Xenopus tropicalis: one gene and its partners. The protein of the gene in region 3 purifies or fractionates together with the protein of the main gene of each other region. This does not show direct contact. Links are inferred from orthologs where the notes say so. Each region holds a gene or a part of one and is shown on either strand. Other genes may lie near its edges.

Evidence for each region.
Region 1: the proteins of chtop (region 3) and prmt1 purify together in Homo sapiens (affinity purification with western blotting; 7 studies listed by BioGRID and IntAct, with this or other methods). This does not show direct contact. The link is inferred for Xenopus tropicalis from reciprocal best matches to the Homo sapiens genes CHTOP and PRMT1.
Region 2: the proteins of chtop (region 3) and erh purify together in Homo sapiens (affinity purification with mass spectrometry; 3 studies listed by BioGRID and IntAct, with this or other methods). This does not show direct contact. The link is inferred for Xenopus tropicalis from reciprocal best matches to the Homo sapiens genes CHTOP and ERH.

Annotation. Positions count from the first base shown.
Region 1 is NC_030683.2:111,009,022-111,012,076, reverse strand, and holds part of prmt1 (protein arginine N-methyltransferase 1), read right to left. Parts: intron 2,253-3,055; coding exon 2,151-2,252; intron 2,074-2,150; coding exon 1,918-2,073; intron 1,270-1,917; coding exon 1,206-1,269; intron 1,126-1,205; coding exon 983-1,125; intron 702-982; coding exon 614-701; intron 89-613; coding exon 1-88. UniProt on the Homo sapiens protein: Arginine methyltransferase that methylates (mono and asymmetric dimethylation) the guanidino nitrogens of arginyl residues present in proteins such as ESR1, histone H2, H3 and H4, FMR1, ILF3, HNRNPA1, HNRNPD, NFATC2IP, SUPT5H, TAF15, EWS, HABP4, SERBP1, RBM15, FOXO1, CHTOP, MAP3K5/ASK1, MICU1 and NPRL2.
Region 2 is NC_030684.2:109,825,581-109,829,675, forward strand, and holds the start of erh (enhancer of rudimentary homolog), read right to left. Parts: upstream 2,947-4,095; 5' UTR 2,842-2,946; coding exon 2,839-2,841; intron 2,630-2,838; coding exon 2,542-2,629; intron 1-2,541. UniProt on the Homo sapiens protein: May have a role in the cell cycle.
Region 3 is NC_030684.2:144,108,174-144,112,377, reverse strand, and holds the start of chtop (chromatin target of PRMT1 protein), read right to left. Parts: upstream 2,950-4,204; 5' UTR 2,840-2,949; intron 970-2,839; 5' UTR 953-969; coding exon 888-952; intron 1-887. UniProt on the Homo sapiens protein: Plays an important role in the ligand-dependent activation of estrogen receptor target genes. May play a role in the silencing of fetal globin genes.

The DNA of each region.
Region 1 (3,055 bases), on a different chromosome or scaffold from region 3:
TGTTTGGGATCAACAACATCAACCAGAGGCTCCTTGATGGCTACATCCTTGATGCATGACATATCAAAGCCATAAACGTTTTCCCACCCTGCAATAAAGATTGGTATAATGAGCAAAAGTGGATGGATGTAAAAATTTTACTGTGGAAGCAAAGTACATGACAAATTGTGTTGAGGCAGTTAAACCCCTTTTCAAAGCAGTTCTGGACTGGTTTTAAACAAGTTACAAAGTTTTGGGGGCACAGTAGAAGGCCATACATTAATGCATAGCAAGAACTAACTTTGAACTGACTAAAAAAGTCTAAATATAAAAATGGGCTTTAACCATAGAAATGAAGTGGTTAGGCAGAACTTTGACCAGTGCAGTTATATATTTAAGGAATACATAATCTAAGTCTGCCCAGCTGCATTTCCATTCATCTCCATAACAGTGCCAATACTTATTATAGCTGGGAATGATGGAAATTTGTACCATGCAACACATCGGCACTTACACCAGTCACACTGAAATCTGGTATATTAAACACACATATAGGAAGAGATGCCACTGGGCTTTCACATGCATGGATTTGCTTTAACTCAAAACTGGCACCAAAGCAGCAAATAAGACTTACAGTGAATTTTGTAGTCTTTGTATTGTCTATCCTCAATAGCAGTTACATACAGTGTAGCACGATCTGGAAATATTAACCCATCTGGAGTCTGAAAGATATGCAAGTACATAGAAGCACATGGCATTAAAAAAAAAACTTCTGGCATTTCAACTAAAGTATACATTTCCTTAGCAAGTGTATATACAAGGTTACATTACATCCAGCTATCACTGGTGTAAACCCAGTAATAGCTGATGTAATGTCATTAGCATTGTTGTATTAGGTACAACAATGCAGAGAGCCTTAGCACCATTGGCACAATCAAATCCAACAAACTGTTTACATTTTTAAATACAAGATACTCGTTCTTGACACTTCTTGCGAACTTACCAGCCATTTATCCCGTGCATAGATAACAGTGTTCAGCATTGATTCATAGAACAGACAATATCCCATCCATTCACTGATTATGATGTCCACTTTTTCTACTGGGAGCTCCACCTCTTCTACTTTGCCTTTGATGATTGTAACCACTAAAGGAGAATAATAAGTGGTTAGAATGCAGTCTAGATGGAAACAGTAATGCACTTAAGACAACCGTGTTGTTACCTACCATGATCTAGTTTATTTGCCTTCACGATTTTTATGGCATAGTCAGATATACTTGAGCACTCAATCTAAGTGAAAAAGAATGTAGTGTTAGTTGAGAAGATTTAAACAAATACAATTGTATGTATCCAACCCACTTACCCCCTCTCTGCCTCAACATTCCTCCCCCCCTAAACTTAAATGGATACAGACAAAATTACTCCTCAATTAATGTACATAAGTTACAGGCAATGCTGATCATTTTTAAGTACTTGATGTTCCTAAATGTGTTTTGCCAACCTGACTGTCCCTTCTCAACCTGTCAGTTATAGCTTCTAATGCCAACTGACTCCTACTGCTGCATAAATGGCAGCCCCCTCAATGGAAAATGGGGATTGGCTGTGTAATGTAAAAGCACTGGGCAAACACTTCTATGGCAAAATTATTAATGCATGCAAAGAATGTCCTGTTTTAAAGAAGGGTTTAAATTCTTGTGTCAGTGTCTAATATACGCTATATTAAAAATACTGCATCACAGCACCTGCAGGAAAGGGACTATGATAAGAAATATTCAGATATATGGTGCACACTACCAAGCACCAGTCAGGGGAATGTAAGAGGACAAACTTCTATACCACCTACTAGCTAGTAGAGCTGGATGCATCAGGGAACATGCCTAAAAAAAAAACTCAGCGTTTCTAAATCGCAACCCCATGGGGTAGAGGTTTTTATCTTACCCCAATAACTTTCTTGGCACCAGCCTTTGCTGCAAACATGCAGAGAATACCCGTGCCACTCCCAACATCCAAGACTACTTTATCTTTAAATAGATGTCTGTTGTGAAACATTGAGTTACGATATGTCAGCGTTCGAACTTCATCTTTTAACATCTCCTGCAGAAAGAAAATGGATCAGAAAAACTCATGGACAGTTATCTTTAAAATATTAGTCTACGCAGGGGTTAACTTACCTCATGGATGCCAAAGTGAGCATACGAGTCAAAGTAGTAATCTTTTGATGTCATGTCCTCCGCATTTGGCTTCACACTGCTCTCAGGCTGAGTACAAGAAACCTTCAAATAAGAAAATGCATGCATAAGTCTTAGACACCCATATACAGGCAAGACCTCCAAGGAACAAGACACCTAACATAAGCAATATGGGTGCCTGAAGAACCACATTACTGCCTTGTGATGTTTCAATTTCATATTGCATTCACATCACTCATGATTAGATTAATTCTACAACCTAGAGACAGAATGCAGATGGTAAAAATAACTTCTAGAATGCCATGTTTCCCAGCTGTGGGCCAAAATGCTGACAGCTACTGTCACAGTAGAAGCCATTTTATAATACTCCTTCCTTCTGTACAGTCTTAAAGAGCCAGCAAACTATAGTGAAAGTATTCCTGCAACTGTAAATTACCAACCATTACCTGAATGTCTGCATTTATCACACATATGCTTTGAATTTGCAACAGAAGAAAACTTGTGTTCTGGAATGGCAAAGAGCCCAAATCTCAATCCAATAGAGATGCCATGGCACAACCAAAGACTATATAAACAATTTATGTTTAGTTTAAGCAAGTTACGCCTCATTTTTCATAAATGGCACAACATATGTACAGGTAGAGTAACCCATAGCGGCCAGATGTTTACTTTGAAACAGTAAATACTGTAACTGGGTGCTGTAATTAGACTTATCAATAACTATATATAGCTGAAAACCAGATAATGTGAGTAATGCAGAAATCCAGGTACTGAAGTTTGCAAACTTCTTACAAAAGAAAAATTTGAGGTTATGTTTTCTCCATGCTTGCACAGGTTTCCTTTATTCCATTACCTCCCACACTCCCAAAACAGTCAGGTAAACTGGT
Region 2 (4,095 bases), about 34 Mb from region 3:
GCAAGTATAACTAGGAAGGCAGCAGCAAGAATCAATTAAATCAATGCTACATCTTTTGCCACGTGGTGCCGCGTCTGATGCATATCATCCCCAAAATAAATAATTATCGCATTACAGTGAGTTTGAGTAGTTCCTTAACTTCAACAAAGGATGGATTATAACAAGATTAATTCCAACAGGGAGGTGATTTAAATCTGGGCTTTATGATCAGTAGGGAAGAAGGTCAAGGTAAGAACAATCTACTTACTTCTCTATATAGAAATATGTTAAATCTTTGCGTTTGCACACTTGCGAGAAAGGCACATAATTTTATTAAAGCCAAGGTTCCACTTGTGCTATTTAGGCTTAGACAGCAGAAAAATGCCACAAGGCGTTTATAATACGCAAGAGTCAAACATCCATTTAAACAGTGCTTAGTAACGTTATTTGTGTCACATGACACATTGAAACTTATGTATTATAAACAAAAAAATATGTACCCCCTTTTCCAAAATTAAAAAAATTAGAATTTGCCAAGGTGAAAAAGCCAAAGGATTTTGTGCTTTTATACAGGTTATGGAACTTTTAATATACTCAAGAGCCATAAACATCCTGTAGCCAATATGCTTACAGAGTGTGCTTAGTGATGTCATAGGTTATACTCGGTGCTTAGTGATGTAATCTGTCACATGACTTACTGAAAACTGTGAATTATGAAAACAATGTACCCTGTTATAAAATTACAATAACGATACATTGTTGTCTATATTATCTACAGTTTGGCCAATTCCCTACGGCATTGTAAACTAAACTAGAGACCATTTGCCTGCCCGTAGTATAACTTCTCCTGCCGGATTGTCTGCCTCCTCAAGACCCGCTCAATCAAACACTGGCCCCTCAGGCCTGAATCAACTACTTTACTGCGTCCCCACCAAACTGAACAGCCAGACCCTCCCACCTAACCGCCTGCTCAACAGCAACAAAGGGAAAAGCAGATCTGACTATAGTTCCAGAAGAAACAGGACTTTGAAGAAATGGAGAACAGTGAAAGTGTGGGGGGGGGGGGGGGCAGACACATGGGAGAAAGTGTGGGGAGCAAACAGAGGAAAGGGAACAAGGGGAACTGTAAAAGGGAGGTAAACAAAACATAAGCATGGATACAACTATGCCCCCTAGCCACCCTGAGCAAAAGAACAGCATACTGGCAACTATCCCCCACATCTGTGAGGAGGGGAACAAAATGGAGGCAGAGGTGGAACTATGCTACCCACAGGGCCCCCACACCACTTATATCTGTGGAGCCCTCCTGCCTCTCACACATTGGGATCCTCTCCCGCAACTCACAATATAACCCCGGGGGTTCAAAGGGGGGGTCTAACAGGTCAAGTGCTGGTCGAGAGTTTAGGTTCCAGATTCCGCCTTTGACCCCTAAGGCCTGCAGATTGTATTGAGGATGTACCCAGTACTAACATTTATGAAGATAATAGAAGTCACCAAGGAGTCACATGACCATATACACCTTCTGAAAATACAAGGTCATGTTTATCTTATCTATAAGAAGGGGTACATTAGTCACTATATACTTTAAATTTAAGGAAATATTAATCTTTATACAAATATAACTGGGGCTGGCCAACCTAAATGGGACAGACACTAAATGCCAGTCGGGGTAAGATTTGGGGAGAATGACTATACTTACATGCCCCGTGCGAAACATCGTCAGATCAGCCACACACCATTCAGGGCTGAATCGGCAGGTAAGGAGGTAGAAACAATAGGATTTCTACCTCCTTCTGCCGATTCAGCGGTGAAGGGAGATTTTGGTCAGAATTTGGTCAAAATTTTCAAACTGGTCCGATCGGCGAGTCGGCCGATATCAGCAGCTTCCTGCGATATTGGTCGACTCGCCGACATACCATACACGCACCGAATATCGTACGAAACCTCGTATTATCGGTGCATGTATGGCCACCTTAAAGCTGGCCATACATGGTAAGATTAGTTTGCTTCGCAAGGTTGCCAAGCAAGCTGATCTTCTCTCGATATGCCCAACTGAGGGTGGGCACTATTGGGCTAATCTAGTTGTTGGGCCCTGGGGCCAAACAATCGAAAGAAAACAGCGAGTATAGGCACGGGTGGATGCGGTCCCGATTTGATGGAAAAATCAAACCTGCCCGATTGAGATCTGCCCAATTTCAGGCCAGACGTCGTCAAGAAGGCCCAATAAGCAGATAAGCTGCAGAATTAGTGTAAAGGCCCAATATCGGCAGCCAAAATTAACCCATGTATGGCCACCATAAAGGTCAGTTACATACTCAGGGCTGGGGGAGGGGGGGAACAATTATTTCCTGGAGATATCAGAAAAAGCGGATATAAAACATAGCTCTGATCAAGGCTACAGTGATAATTGCCTAAATGAATGTGGGGGGGGGGGCTGCCTAAATCCTGGGCAGTAAAGGAGGTTTGGGCGGAAAACCCCGTGCTGTAAGGAATGTATAGAGTGCGAGTAACCCGTAGCTACACTTCCCTTCCTATCAAGCAATAAATGTGAGGCTAACATACCTTCCATGCATTCATTCACCGACTCGTAGTCTGCATAGGTCCGGCCCTCGGGTCTCTTGGTGGGCTGTACGAGTAGGATTGTGTGAGACTGCAAGAGAGAGGCCGTGTGAGCTCTACAGGCAAAACACAAGCAGAGGAGCAGCTGCAGAGCCCCGGGCCGAGGGGGGCCTCCATCGCTACATTATGGGGCCGCGCATCCCGCCCCCTGGAACTCAGGAGCCCGCCGCGGCCTGCAGCTGCTTCTCTGCGCCCTCACCCGCTAACAAGCCCCGCCGCCCAGCAGCCATTCCTACTCACCATATCTGCGCTTTCTACACACCGCAACTTAGCACCCGAAGCAGCAAGCAGGAAATGGAAAGTCGTGTTTCCGGCGGAAGTAGTTAGATTTAAACGCTCCAGGTATCATACAGCGAGACTAGTATGGGAGGTCGTGGCGGCCATGATTAATAAGGGCTCGGGGTGTAATATGACTGTACGTGTATTTTATTTATATAGCGCTGTATGTATGTATCGCTGTGCAACAGCACAATAATAAACAAGGGGTCATTACAATAATGAATAAAAAGTACAAGAGCTATGTGTCAAAGAGACAAGAGGATGGAGGTAACGCCTTAAACTATATAATAGTTAAATTTAATTGTTATATATTTTATTGTTATATATTTTATTGTTATACATTTAATTGTAAATATTGTTATACGAGTTTATGTCGTTTTCTGCGACGCTTTTCGCCTGTTTGTAACTACTAAATGCTTATGTGCGCCACAAAGGGGCGTGTCTCTGTCTTTATGTTTATTCTATCCACGCAGCGCTGTCCGTCTATCTACGTTCCCTACTGTGACGCCATTGTCCAGCTAACCCGGAAGTAGTCTCATGTAATGACACCATGGCAGCCGCGGCTCTGAGGCACAGCAAGATGGCGGTGCGTATGTGCGAGAGCCACTAAGGTTCCTGCGGGCTGTCAGAGTCTGTTGAACAAGCCGGAGCAGATTTTTGGGCTCAGCGGTAAGGAATAGCCCTGTGGTTCGTATTCGGTTTGAGCTGTTCCGGACCGGCTGTGCCTGTCTGTTAGTGTGTGAGTACCTACATTATTTATCGGTATAGTGCACTGATTGGCAACCTCGAATGGGACAAGTCTTGCTGAGCTACACCTGCCATGGGCTGAAGTATAGGCAGGGAGTAGTTTTGTGTATATGTTTTATGAGGCTATTTGTAAATGACAATAGTATAGGTAAATGTAATTTATATCCACTATGTGTCTGTATAGTTGTATACTGGCCCCAGTATGCATAGCATCATGTCCATTCCATGAGCACAGATCAGAGAGACCATGGAGTACATACCATAGCAAAGGATAAGCATCAAACTGCACAGGAAGGTTATATCTAATCTTTCTATTAATAGCTGTAGTTACTAATAGCATTAAGGGATATCAATTGGTAGGTGTGGGTGTCCCAAAGAGCTCACTGTCTAACTAAGAGTAGTGGAACCCCCCACAGACATGGGGAACACAATAGGTTTATGGGAGAGTAAGGGGAAAGTGTGTTAGCGGCT
Region 3 (4,204 bases):
TGTAAGTAACAACAACAATAAAAGTGTAGCCTTGCAGAGCAGTAGGGGACTGGCGGCCAAAAAACGACTGCTCTGCAAGGCTACTATTTTATTGCAGCGGTTACTTATTTTTTCTATTTAAGTCCTCTCCTACCTATATAGCACTACCTGGTTGCTAAGGTAATTTGAACCCTAGCAACCAGATAACTGCTGAAATTCCAAACTAGAGCATTGCTGAACAAAAAGTGAAAAAAAAAAAAAACGAAGACCAATTGCAATTTACTCTCTACATCATACTAAAAGTTAACTCAAAGGTGAACTTCCCCTTTAATACCAACTGCACCAGTTACGGGAAAGACCATGGCACGAGAGGGGTACAGATGGAACAGGAAGGCATGAATGGGATGGTTAAACCCCAGGGGGACCCCAAGAAATGAGGGGGTGCAAGAGCAGACACATGCAGGGAATGGACTGAGCAAAGCGGTTGCCTCTTACAAGACCCTAGAACGAGGTTAAAGGGCCTCTGGGCAGGGAGAGAGACCCCCGAATCATGCCTCTTACAGGAGCGACCACACGCGGGCATGTGTCGCCCCCCGGGCACGGCAGCGGGTGTAACGCAGCGCAGGTAACATGCTACCAGGCCGCAGCTGAGATTCTGACCCATGTACATACGTGTGGAAGAGAAGGGGGGGAGTGAGTGTATCACATTGCCTGATTATACTTTACCAACTGCTAGTGACAATCTCACACACAGGCCCGGCCCCCTGTGGTACAGCTGCCGCAGCAGCGGGCGCCCACTTTTGTGTTTAAGGGGGGGTGGGCACGGGGCGAGGCATGCCCATGTGAGGCAGTGTGAGACACGGGCTACATATGCTATAGCAGCTGCCCGGCCTGTGGGGCTTCCTCACCGCTCATTCAGCGACAGCTTTGTGGTACTCTTTAGCACAACTTTAGATGCAGACGGGGCGGCCATCTTGAAGTCTGGCAAACCTGCAAGGGACACAGCAAAGTTAGTCACGTGTTTGTAACACACAGTCCCCTTTACTCTAAACAGGGAGTGTAGGACATGAGCAGCACTGGTACCGACCCAACCCTGCCCCCCCCCGAACCACTGTCCCATAAACAGAACTATACCTCTCAGCCCCCCAAAGCCCTTTAGTACCCTGCCCCCCCCAGAACCACTGTCCCATAAACAGAACTATACCTCTCAGCCCCCCAAAGCCCTTTAGTACCCTGCCCCCCCCCCAGAACCACTGTCCCATAAACAGAACTATACCTCTCAGCCCCCCAAAGCCCTTTAGTACCCTGCCCCCCCCAGAATCACTGTCCCATAAACAGAACTATACCTCTCAGCCCCCCAAAGCCCTTTAGTACCCTGCCCCCCCCAGAATCACTGTCCCATAAACAGAACCTATACCTCTCAGCCCCCCAAAGCCCTTTAGTACCCTGCCCCCCCAGAATCACTGTCCCATAAACAGAACTATACCTCTCAGCCCCCAAAGCCCTTTAGTACCCTGCGCCCCCCCAGAATCACTGTCCCATAAACAGAACTATACCTCTCAGCCCCCCAAAGCCCTTAGTACCCTGCCCCCCCAGAATCACTGTCCCATAAACAGAACTATACCTGCTCAGCCCCCCAAAGCCCTTTAGTACCCTGCCCCCCCAATCCCCCCCAAAGACTAACCCTCTCCAACCAAGCCTTTAAAACCCTTGCCCCCCCCCCCAAAGCCCCTTAGTACCCTGCCCCCCCCCCCCCAGAAGCCCTTTAGTACCCTGCCCCCCCCCCAAAGCCCTTTAGTACCCTGCCCCCCCCCCAAAGCCCTTTAGTACCCTGCCCCCCAAAAGCGGCTAGGACCCTCCCCCCCCCCAAAGCCCTTTAGTACCCTGCCCACCCCCCCAAAGCCCTTTAGTACCCTGCCCCCCCCACAAAGCCCTTTAGTACCCTGCCCCCCCCCCAAAGCCCTTTAGTACCCTGCCCCCCCCCAAGCCCTTTAGTACCCTGCCCCCCCCCCAAAGCCCTTTAGTACCCTGCCCCCCCCCAAAGCCCTTAGTACCCTGGCCCCCCCCCAAGCCCTTTAGTACCCTGCCCCCCCCCCAAAGCCCTTTAGTACCCTGGCCCCCCCAAGCCCTTTTAGTACCCTGCCCCCCCCCAAAGCCCTTTAGTACCCTGCCCCCCCCCCAAAGCCCTTTAGTACCCTGCCCCCCCCCAAAAGCCCTTTAGTACCCTGCCCCCCCCAAAGCCCTTTAGTACCCTGCCCCCCCCCAAAGCCCTTTAGTACCCTGCCCCCCCCCCAAAGCCCTTTAGTACCCCTGCCCCCCCCCCAAAGCCCTTTAGTACCCTGCCCCCCCCAAAGCCCTTTAGTACCCTGCCCCCCCCAAAGCCCTTTAGTACCCTGCCCCCCCCCCAAAGCCCTTAGTACCCTGCCCCCCCAAAGCTTAGACCTGCCCCCAAAGCCCTTTAGTACCCTGCCCCCCCCCAAAGCCCTTTAGTACCCTGCCCCCCAAGCCCTTTAGTACCCTGCCCCCCCAAAGCCCTTTATACCCTGCCCCCCCCCAAAGCCCTTTAGTACCCCTGCCCCCAAAGCCCTTTAGTACCCTGCCCCCCCCAAAGCCCTTTAGTACCCTGCCCCCCCCCAAAGCCCTTTAGTACCCTGCCCCCCAAAGCCCTTTAGTACCCTGGCCCCCCCTCCCAGCCCCCCAAAGCCCTTTAGTACCCTGCCCCCCCAGAATCAGTCCCATAAACAGAACTATACCTCTCAGCCCCCCAGGCCTCTATGCCCAGGGGCGTGGGAAGCAGTTACCCCCGGCCCCCCATTCATACCCCAGCACCGAGCCCGGTACCCCCTCCCCTCACACTCACCGAGCGGCTCTGGAGTCCGGGGTGCGCTTGGCTAACGGACGGGATCCCCCCAAATAAAAGCAAGAGGGCTACGGTAGCACTGACTCTCCCTGCCTATCGCTCTACTCCCGACACACAGCACAAAATGGCGCCTAACACTGACCCTACGCCGGCAAAATGGAGGCGGCTTTAATGCGTCGAGCCACGTATCTCCATTCCCCGCCCCTTCCGAGCCTCTTAGTGGATGGTTACTATGGATACCTGCCCGGGATGGGTGTCCATCTTGGGAAGGGAAATGCGCTACAAATCAACGAGAGGTCGCCGCCATCTTGGGATGGGCACGCAAAACACTCACCTACATAACTGACTAGTTTCATTTTCAGCAATTGCGCTCTTTACATTGCAGAATCTCAGAATGTAGGGGTTGCTAAACTATATCTGACGTTATTATTAGCTAAAAAACAAAACTTTGTTGTTTCTGAGGTACAGGTCCTGAACTGAACTGTGTTACATGTGCTGCTTAATGGCAGCATTAATGTGTCTATGAACATTCCCATTCATCCAGGCCATGATATACAGTATCTAGCAGAATTAAGTCTAAAGCAACTGGACTTTTCTGAGTTTTTTTCTTGAAAACATTTCACCACTCATCCCAGTGGCTTCTTCAGTTCTGAAGAAGCCACTCAGATGAGTGGTGAAATGTAAACTCAGAAAAGTCCAGTTGTTTTTAGACTTAATTCTATAATGTCTTATTTTCACAGCCGCTGGTCTTACATATCAACTGGACAGGCCTAGCAGAACCCACTGATGGTACTGGACTGAACTCCCATGTTCCACACTAATATAATGGACCATTTCTCATGAATGTCTCCGTTAGGCAGCACACACTAATGTCTTTGTTAGAAGCCGGTCTCATTCCCAAGAATGTAATAAAGTCACTTATGTTGTCTTGAAGCAGAGAGCAGACAGCAAAAACCAATAGGAATGTGTATCCAAGCTGGGACCCGGTATTAAGCGGATATTTCCAGATGGTACCTGGCCGTCCATAAACAACACCCTGTCCTTAATTCTTCATGTCAATGTGGAACTCTGGGTAATCAGTTGTGGGGGGGGGGGGCAGGTAACCGAGCACTATGGCATTGTCCCATTTACAAGTGGGGAATCCCCTTACCGGGAATGGATTTGCCCTTCTATCCCTCACTAATACCAGCGCCCTCCCCTGTGGAACCTGTGTGTTGGGGCAAAATCGTCCCACTGGTAAAGGAGCAAGAAGCCCCCAGGTACCCGTGGGCCAGCAACTCACAGTGGCCAGAGAAATTATGTTTACAGACGTGTTCTCGGAACTCCCTGGTAAGACATATAAAGTAGGAAGAGACCCAGGGGTGA